2 linked regions of the Rattus norvegicus genome follow. The protein of the gene in region 1 purifies or fractionates together with the protein of each later gene. This does not show direct contact. Links are inferred from orthologs where the notes say so. Each region holds a gene or a part of one and is shown on either strand. Other genes may lie near its edges.

Region 1 (4,767 bases):
CCAGGCTGAGAGTGCAGCTTCTCAGCAGGGTTGGCTCAGGAGCCCCGCTCACCAGAGGGCAGGACCTGGTGCCCTGCCCACACCCAGCAAATAAAGTATCACTTGGGGCGGGGACAACATATAGCAAGGGAGCTTTCATTGGTATGAAATTCCTGTCGAGCTCTAGTCTCACGGGCAAGAACCTCCCGTCAGTCACCACAGCTGCCTTCCTAGAGGGGTTCAGGAGGCGTGGCAAGGCAGATATCCTGACCATGTGTCAAAACTGTGACCATGTGTCAAAACTTGTCCCTATGAGGCTGGGGACAAGAGGACTCAGGGAGCCCCTGTAGATAGCCCTCGGCAGCTCTGGTCCCCCACAGTGCCTTCCATGTGCCCCCAGCCCCATGCATTGCCAGGTTCTGGTCTTCAGTGCTGCCCTGAACTCTCTCACCGTTCTTCATAGCTCCATGTGGTAGGCCCCTTGGTCTCCAGGAGGGCTAACTAGGAGTAGGTTGCTGGGGCAGGCCTTGAAAGGTGTACCAGTCTCCTGTCCTTTTCAATCTACTTCCTACCTGCCCCGGTGTGACCTCCACCACCATGTCCTTCCCTCTATGATGAACCTCCAAAAGCAGGAGCTAAACAAATATTTATTCTTCTTCCGTTAAGTCGGGAATTCTGTCACAGTGGTAAGAAAGCTAACAGGTGATCCAGCCAGGGCAGAAAATTGCCTGTCAGAGCCACATCATAGTCTCTGGTCATGGGGCGATCTGATTCTGTGCAGCCTTTGACCGTTGAAGAGCCTCCCGAAGTTCTAGAGTTCTAGCTGCCTTTCACCCACCCTTGGGCTCTTTTTTTTTTTTTTCCGGAGCTGGGGACCGAACCCAGGGCCTTGCACTTGCTAGGCAAGCGCTCTACCACTGAGCTAAATCCCCAACCCTCACCCTTGGGCTCTTAAGGGTGGGTGATTTTTATTTCTTCAGTGGTGATGGAGAATTGTTAACAGTTTTTATTTTACCCAAGGGCATTGTTCAGTTGTCTTAATGAACTTCTAAGTCTCGACTCCTAAAAAAAAATAATAAATAATAAATAACAGTACTAAAAAAAGAGGTGGGTGAGAGCAATTAGAATTTTCCTAGAATGGCTTTTTAATACTTGCAATGCGGTTTTTATTTATCTGTAACTTGGATTGTTTGAACCTTCGGCATTCAAATATGCAGGTTAGAAAGCATCAAGTCCGGCTTCCCACAGTCCTCGGCTCGCAGCCTTGCCGAGTGTTAAGCAGGCCCTAGGCACCAGCAGGTCAGACATGACACCCAGCAGCTAAAGGACACATCTCAGTGGCCCTTCATTCCTCAGCAGCTCACCCTGCAAGTCTCACCCTAGAGGGTCACTCACATTATGGGCAGCAGAGGGAGAGAGGAAGATACAGCTAGAAAAAGACCTGACACTCTCTCCAGTGCCCTCCTCTGTCCGTGTCCTATGGGGACAATGGTGTCATCCTGAAAGGAGACGTCTACTGAGCAGAATTTTGATTCTCGGTCGTGAGTTAGGATGCTAATACTTAGTGTGCGAGATCTAATCGTTCCACCAGTTAGAACTGTTGGTGTCAAATACGTACTTAGTAACAAACCACGGTTCACTGTGGAAGAAGAGACTTGAGTGGGCTGTCCTTTTGGGCTGGGGGTGGTGGGAGGGTGTGGGTGATAGGTCTAACTTTCCGGGGCATCGTTTGCACAGAGGACAAGCAGTTGTAAGGGCGAGCCAACCTCTTCGGGTGGCAGTGGATCCAGCTGTGGGTCTGTAGATGCATGGACAGCATACATTACACCTAAGAAAGCTGTCCAACGGAGGTGCTATTGGTAGTCTGCCTTGATTCTTACAGGTGACCCTTCCACAGGAGCATGGTGGTCTACAACCAGTGCTATACCCACAGAGTGTTGATTTCGTCCCCTCAGTGACTCTTATCAATAGTTCCCGGGACCATTCAGCTCACAGGAATACCTAGTGTAGCAGAAACGATGTGCTAACTTAAAGCAGCCCTTGGGAACGGGGTCAGAGTTTCATCCCTGAAGCAAATCAAGCTTCCTAATTAGTTATATGCGTCTAGAGAGCGCAGCTCCTTCCAGCCCACGAGCCTTCTGCCGTGCCTCCTCTCGTGGCCCTCATGTCTGCCACGGGGAAACGGCTCAGCCACTTTTTTTTTTTTGTCTCACTCATGTTCAAAGAACTCATGACAGGCTGTGGTCACCATGGAGACGAAGGCCATAAACTCCTGGAAGTCACACTCCCCATCCCCATCTTCGTCCAGCGTCTCCATCACTTTGTCCACCACTTCCTGCTCTTTGATTTCCTAAGAGAGAGAGAGAGAGAGGAGACGATTTAAACCGGAGCCGTCAGAGTGCTATTAAAAGTGCCAGGCTGGTTTGATTTGCGTCAGAAACGATCCCGGTACAGGAAATGAAGAATCCTAACAGCCCCTTGTGAGCATGGACAGTCAGCCACGGGTAAGGGGTGGGGGGAGCGGTCTGTTCTCTTCCCTTTGGCCTGGATTACTTCAAAATGGGGGGAAAGGTGAAGGAGTAACAGACTGCCCCGTGAATGTGTGTGAAGCCTGGCTCAGACTGGGCTAGTGACTTGAGAGACATGAGCTCAGCGCTTCTGAGTGTCCATGTGTTTGGGAGCTACATGGATCCTAACATTCACTAAAATACCACTTGGGAGCGTGTCAGAGTTTTCTCTTCATGAGTAGCTTCCTAGCGTCGTAGGCTTCCCCCCTGACAGTTCTGATGCCAAAGCCAAGTGAATGGTAAGGCTACTCCTAACTGATGCCCCAACTGTGCGGGCCTGAAACCCGGTGGGAAGAATGCAGGCTCTGAGCCAAGACTCTTAGTACAGCCTGCTTGAGTTAATACCTATCCCCTACCCCACCTCCCTGACAGGAGAGCTATGTAGGGAAGCCTAACTGTTTCCCTAAATACAAACATTCCCCTGGAAAAGATGGTGATTCCCAGAGGCGCACTGGAGGCTGTTAAAACATCTCCTGAGAGAGATGGGAACAGTGTCGTTCTCCCAGTTACAACATAGGTGCCTTGATTTCGAACCTACATGGCCTCCAGAGGCTTATGTAGGAGGCCTGGTGCCAACCTGTGGCACCACGGGGAGATGATAGAGCCTTTGGGAGGTAGGCAAAGTGGGAGGAAGCTGCATCATTGGGCCACGCCCCTTCATTTCTTTGCTCCTCAGTGGGTTGGTCTGCCTCATCCAAGGCCCCCAAACAGTGAAGCCTGACAACTGTGCACCGAAATCATGAGCCCAAATAAATCGTCCTTGTCTGGCCATGGTGGTGCATGCCAATAATCCCAGCACTAAGGAGGCAGAGGCAGGCGGATCTCTGACTCCGATGCCAGCCTGGTCTACAGAGTGAGTTCCAGGACAGCCAGGGCTACGCAGAGAAACCCTGTCTTGGAAAACAAAACCAACCAAATAAATCAATAAACCTTCCCTCTTTCAAGTTGATTTTCTCCAAGGCTTCTGTTGAACCAGGCCAGCAAACAGGTGAGATACTTTGATAACTTACATGAGTTATCATTGATAAATGGGCCATTACCGGCTATTTTTTTTTTCCTGTCGTCAATCAGGGGAGTAGCGAGGATCTTAAGCTCTTATCAGCTGTGCTTTCCCTAACCGTGAGGAGCTTGACATGCTCACCGTGTCCCTGCATACTCTTCTTCAAACATGAAGAGATTAAGTCAAAAGGCAGAGTGTGGGGGGGCTATAACTAGTTATGCATCCTGTTCCTGAGTCCCTGTTACCCAGTATCTGAATGTCTTAGGAATTGATCCCCAAAAGCCCACTTGAAATCTTCTCCAGCAAGCCCACAAGGAAGGCCTGCTCAGTGAGTATCAACCTACCCAGTTAACTCGGAGTATGGTTACCTGTACCACGTGAAATGGCCGTGCCCGGGAGTCAGACCCAGACTCGGCACTTGATCAAACACTGACTAGTTTTCCTCTGTCTGTGTGCTTGGCTACTTCTGTGGCCCAAGGGGGTGCTCTCTGTGGCAGGACGCATTCCTTGAGCACCGACAGCATTTCCATATCACTATAGGTGTGCCTCGAGCATTGGTCTAGGGGACTGAGGGAGCACTGGGTGACAGAAGGATTACAGTTCACCTCCACGAGAGCACTTGGTTTGCGAGCAGTAGACCCGCTCAAGGGCAGAGGAGACAGTGGGTCAGGAAGCGAATGTTTTCACTACTAGAATATTAAGTGCCCAGAGAAAAACAGCCTGTCAGGGATCCTGCAGCAGCTTCCTAGGACTCCAAACTAAACTTAGGCCCAGCCAATGTCATATACCCCGGGGAGCCTCCTGTTCCCCTCAGGCAACTATTCCCTTGTGGTTTATGCTAGCTTGGATGTTTTGCGAGCCCGTGTATCTCAAATATTGAATTATCGAGTGATCAGTCAATGTTTATTTAACCTCTGGTATTTCTTTGTAGGAGGTACCAGACAGCTAGACAAAGTGAAAAGATTTCTTCCCTGCCCCCCAAACGTCTCATGCTTTAAAAAAAAAAAAGTGTGTGTGTGTGTGTGTGTGTGTGTGTGTGTGTGTGTGTGTGTGCACGCAGGTACCTACATACTCTCATACCGTAGTACACGTGTGGAATTGGTTCTCTCCTGCCATGTAGGACTCAAACACAGATCATCAGGGTCAGGTGTGTTTACCTGCTAAGCCTCCTCACTGGCCTTTTGTGTTTTGAGAGACGTTATCCCTGTACAACCCAGGCTG
Region 2 (5,150 bases), on another chromosome or scaffold:
GCAACTCAGGAGCTGGAGAAGTGAGGGAAATGGTAAACCTTGCCTTTTCACTCAGATGAAAACATGCCCACGGACTCTTTGGAGTCATCCACGTTGTCCCTTACCTGAATTTCTGGTAGGACTGAGAGAGATATTCATTAATGATGCTTAGGTGAGCATTATCACCCAGAAACATCTTGTTGGAAGCCGCGTGCTGCAGCATCTTTGCAATGGAGCCCAGATTTCTACGCTGGTCTGTGGTGAGCTGGCCTCCTGCTGACAGGTCAATAATGTCGAAGGCATCAGGAGCAACGATGGCCGGGTTCATGTATCGGTAGTAAAGCAGGTTACCAATAATCTGAAATAGAAGCCTGGGCGTTAAAGACCAGACCACTGAGGACGCCATGTGGGACTTTGCTAGCAATGAAAATGAGAAAATGCAGTCCTATGAGGAAGGTCAACAAGAGACACACACCAACATGCATACATGCACATACACTTTCCTTTAAGACCTAAACCTCAAATGGATGTGTGTAGGGAGGATAAGGGGACTGAAACTGGTCCCAGAGACGAGTAGAGGAGTAGACTTAGAATATATAAGTAGCATTTAAGGTGTGTGACTCAACACGCCAGGACACCTTCTGTTCATGTTATAGCAGCAGCTCAGGCTGATGTCAAACACCTTTGTGGGTTTTGTAGGTGGGTTTTTAGGAAGCCATAGAGCACGGTGAAAGTAAGTCCTTAAGATGACCTAGTTAGCACAATGCCATCTGTCTAAACCCCACCATCCACATGCCACAGACTGCAAAGGCCACGTTCATGCCTCTGAAATGAGATTCACTCAACACACGTCTTCCACAGGAGAACGAAAGGACAATCATGGCATCTCCCCTAGAGTTCCAGAAAAAAATAAAATTAATTCACCTGGACAGAAAGTCTAGAATCGAGGCCTCACTGTAGGAAAGCACAGAACTAGGAGAGAGAAGAGAAAAGTGTTCAGATTTAAAAGGTAGTAAAAACACGAGTAGAAGGGAGTACAGCGGAGCAAGAAGAATTAGCAGAGCCTCAGCAGAGCCCTGTGCTTGCTGCTATTCACCTGGCCACCAGGAGAGGGCGCAATGCTCCAGAGAAAAGAGGACTCCGAACTTCCCACTGCCTACTAGACTTGGTACACTTGGGCCTTTAAAGATGAATAGAGACTGTCTGCTGAGAAGGACCACTGCCTCCTAGTTATGACTGCTTTGGAGGCTCACAGTGGAGAACTCAGGCCCGTTCTGCTGGTCTGTGGTCACTGGGGGCTGACACTGAAGGGAGGAACCCGCCATTTTCCGCTTCCTACCTTCAGCAGCTCGTCCTCGGCAGCATCCGGGAACTTCTCGTGCAAAGAGTCCTTCAGCACTTTGGCAATGAAGCGCATCCCGTAACTGGGGGACAGACAAAACAGAGTAAGGTCAGGCCGCAGGGGGCACCACCAACCAGGCATTATCTGGGGTCACAACTGCTGGCACTTACGGGATTTTGTCCACAGAGCTGACGATGGCTGAAAGGAACTTGTCTGTCACAGCCCTCATGTTCCTGATGGAGTTGTCTAACCTCGTCTTCACTTCTTCATGAGACAAGGCTTGCTCAGGGGTCACATCATAAGGCAGTTTGCTGAGAAAACAGAGACGATCCCCAGCAATGTTAGACAAACCCCCGGGAATAGTTAGGGGCAGGAACTTGTCTTTTGCAAATAGACCCAGAAAGCTTAGCTAACTTAGGCTCCTCTGCACAGGCTGGTAAAGCGAGGCTAGAATCTGAGTCTGGGTTCTCAGCTGTGAGCTGGATGCCGCATGTCATGTGTCACACGCCCTGATAAGCACTTAGCCACAAACAAATGGAAGCCATCGGATCTTCTCTTGAGTCTCACAGCAGGTAATCATAAACACCCTATATGGGCTAGAGGTTAGCTCAGTGATGTAGCGCTGGCCTGGTGTACCCATGACCCCAGGTTAACCACCAGCAATGAAGAAGAACAACGCTTCTGAGCAGTAGGCTGATCTGCAGATCACAGGAGGAGCCTCTACTCAGAATGGAGAAAGGAAGGAAGGCTCCCTCACAGCCAGACCACACAGAAACGTGGACAGAGAAAACCAGCTTCACAAAGTTATCCTCTGACCTCCACATGCTCCCTTTCCCCTAACACAGACACACACAGACACACAGACACACAGACACACACAGACACACAGACACACACAGACACACACACACGCACACACACACACATACACACAGACACACACACACGCACACACACAGACACAGACACAGACACACACACACACACACACACACACACTCAGACATACAGACATACAGACACACACATTTTAAGCAGAAAGACCACCCAGGCTCACTGTAAAAATAAAGATGGACAGACAGACACAGATGGGAGATGTGGGAAAGCAGTGTTTCAGCTTGACCCAGAGACAATGAGTATGAACAACGACGAAGGGGCAACAGTGCAGACCAGGAAGACCCACAGGCACTGAAGAGACAGCACAGCCAAGGACATGGCACCTTTCCACGTCAGGGGAGACAGACAGACACAGGAGCTGAGGCACTGGGCTAGTCAAACAAGGCTGGGGGTGCAGGCCAGACGACAGACTTGTCTGTCTAGCACACACAAGCCCTGGATTAAATCCTCAACAGCACATAAATCAGACTCTACAATTCATACTTGGGAGGCGGAGGCGAAGGATCTGAGTTCAAAGTCATCTTCAGGTACACAGGGTATTTAAGGCCAGACTGGAATACAGAAGGACTTGTCCAAAAGGAAAGAGAGGGAGGGACGCAGGGAGGGAGGAAGGAAGAGAGAGACAGACAGACAGACAGAGACAGACAGATTGGCATAGGAATGGCAGATGTGCTACAACATGGGCCTACATGTAACAAGAAGGAAATAAAGACAAGGAGCTGAAAGATAAAAAGAAATACAGGGAGGTTTCTGGTATTTTCAAGGTTAAAAAAGGAGCACTGATTTTCATAGATTATCCAAGTGCTCCCTAAATATAAAGTAGGTGACCTAGTAAGAGAGACAGGGAGATTTAGTATACAGAGGGGAGCAGAGGCAACCAGGGAGGCAGAGACTACAATCACAGGGCCACAAGCCAATCAGGGCCAAAGGCCACCAGAAATTGAAGAAGCCAAGGAACAGATGTTCCTTGCTGGCATCTTGATTGAGCCCCGTGATTGCTACTTCAAGGATTTTGATAAACTTCATCCGCTCCAGCTACCAGCGTGTGGCGAGTTGGGTATGGTCACCATGGTAAACTGAGATAAGCAGACAGGGGCATGACTGTCCTAGCATGCTGAATGAGATCCAGGACGGTATTTGTAATATATGATTAAGTACTGTGTGGGGAGGCTAAGGAGAAGGGAAAAGTGGGGACCTATGATGATTATATGTCAGGTGGCTTCACATACCTCACAGGTACTGGAATTAAAAAAGCATCAGGGGGCTGGGGATTTAGCTCAGTGGTAGAGCGTTTACCTAGGAAGCGCAAGGCCCTGGGTTTGGTCCCCAGCTCCGAAAAAAAGAACCAAAAAAAAAAAGCATCAGTTTCCATTTTGTGAAAATCAGGAAACACTACTTTCTTACAGACACTAACAAGAAAAAACTACTGAACTGGCTAGTAGAATTCAGATTTGTAAATGACCGATTGACTTAGTGACCTTGAGCAGTGTTCATGGGGCCGCTATCTAAGAATGGCCTGGGTGACAGGCCACACTTCCCAGACAGACAAAGGCAGTGAGCAGAGGCAGGTGGTGGAGCTGAGAGCTGAGCTGAGTGTTCAAGTCCCAGCACAGGAAAAAAAAAAAAAAAACCAAAAACACAGAAAAGTTTCCACGATGCCCAGAAAAGATCAGACTCCCAGTGTTAAGACTACAGAACACTCAACTCAATGGTGTGTCTTAACGCTTCAGAACACTTCGTGACTCATCTACAGTGACACATTTTTTGGTTTGGTTTGGTTTGGCTGAGAGAGGGTCTCGCTCATTCTGAATATCTGCCCCATCCTCCACAATGCTGGCTTTACACGCATGCACCACCATGTCATCGAATGGCAAGTGGTGCGAAAGCTACCCAGCACGCTTCCTGCCATCTAACCCGCCCTGGTGCACCGGAGTCCCACACATCTAGTCTCTGGGTCCTCCCCAACCTGAGTAACAGCAAGAGCAGCAGCATGGCTCTCTGAACTTTTGTTTTCCTGGCTTTACCAAATTTGATTGACTGACATGCCTTTGTTGTCTGTCTGTCTGTCTGTCTGTCTGTGGTAGATAGAGTTCACTATGGCCGACTCATCTCCCATAACTAATGTATTCCTGGTTAAGCTCTACCCAGGCACAGATCATGGTTCACCCTACCCACATCTTTTCCTCCTGATCCCAAATACACAGCCCTTCCCATCCAACTGCTCCAGTTACAGCCGGGTCTTTTCAAGTGCTAGGCCCTCTGCAGCAGGGCATTCCCCCAAAAAAGTCCCACCTCAGCGGATGGTTTCCCTAACTGCCTGTCAACATTAGCACTCTCCTGTACTCTGGTAGAATACCTTACAAAAGTTTTAAAGCCTTTCCATGGATGTAATTTTTATTTATCTGTTTGTTGTCTCTGTTCCCCAATAAGCTATGAAGGAGTAAGGCTTCAATAAATCTGCTTCAATTACTATTATAGTTATCATCATCATCATCATCGGAGGTGATGGTTCTCCTCACGTTTATGTGGACTCTGGAGATGAAATTCAGTTCTCCAGAATCACACAGGAAGAGCCTTACCTGTAGGGCTATGCTATCCATGCCTCACTCACTGTTATGTTTAATCCTACATGTATCTAACAGTGCTAGCATATAGCAGGCACTCAGTAAGTATTTGCTAAATAAGCGAATTATCAACTTAACAACTTACAGCATAGTTCTCAAAGGAAATGAGAGAGAGAGAGGGTGTGTGTGTGTGTGTGTGTGTGTGTGTGTGTGTGTGTGTGTGTGTGTTTTCTCTGTAGTCTATGCTGGCCCAGAACTCACTATGTAGCTAGGACTGAGCTTTCTGCCTCTAGACCTCTAGTGCTGAGTAAGACTGTGAACATGAGGCACCCACCTCATGCCTGGCAGGAAAAGTTGTTTGAAAAACC

What was found. Proteins that work in one complex are often made in the same cells at the same time.
Region 2: the proteins of S100b (region 1) and Iqgap1 purify together in Homo sapiens (co-immunoprecipitation; 3 studies listed by BioGRID and IntAct, with this or other methods). This does not show direct contact. The link is inferred for Rattus norvegicus from reciprocal best matches to the Homo sapiens genes S100B and IQGAP1.

What each region holds. Positions count from the first base shown.
Region 1 is NC_086038.1:12,371,245-12,376,011, forward strand, and holds the end of S100b (protein S100-B), read right to left. Parts: intron 2,330-4,767; coding exon 2,189-2,329; 3' UTR 1,104-2,188; downstream 1-1,103. UniProt on the Homo sapiens protein: Small zinc- and- and calcium-binding protein that is highly expressed in astrocytes and constitutes one of the most abundant soluble proteins in brain.
Region 2 is NC_086019.1:144,105,453-144,110,602, forward strand, and holds part of Iqgap1 (ras GTPase-activating-like protein IQGAP1), read right to left. Parts: intron 1,633-5,150; coding exon 1,492-1,632; intron 1,404-1,491; coding exon 1,319-1,403; intron 952-1,318; coding exon of another isoform or gene 931-951; exon of another isoform or gene 904-930; intron 338-903; coding exon 105-337; intron 1-104. UniProt on the Homo sapiens protein: Plays a crucial role in regulating the dynamics and assembly of the actin cytoskeleton.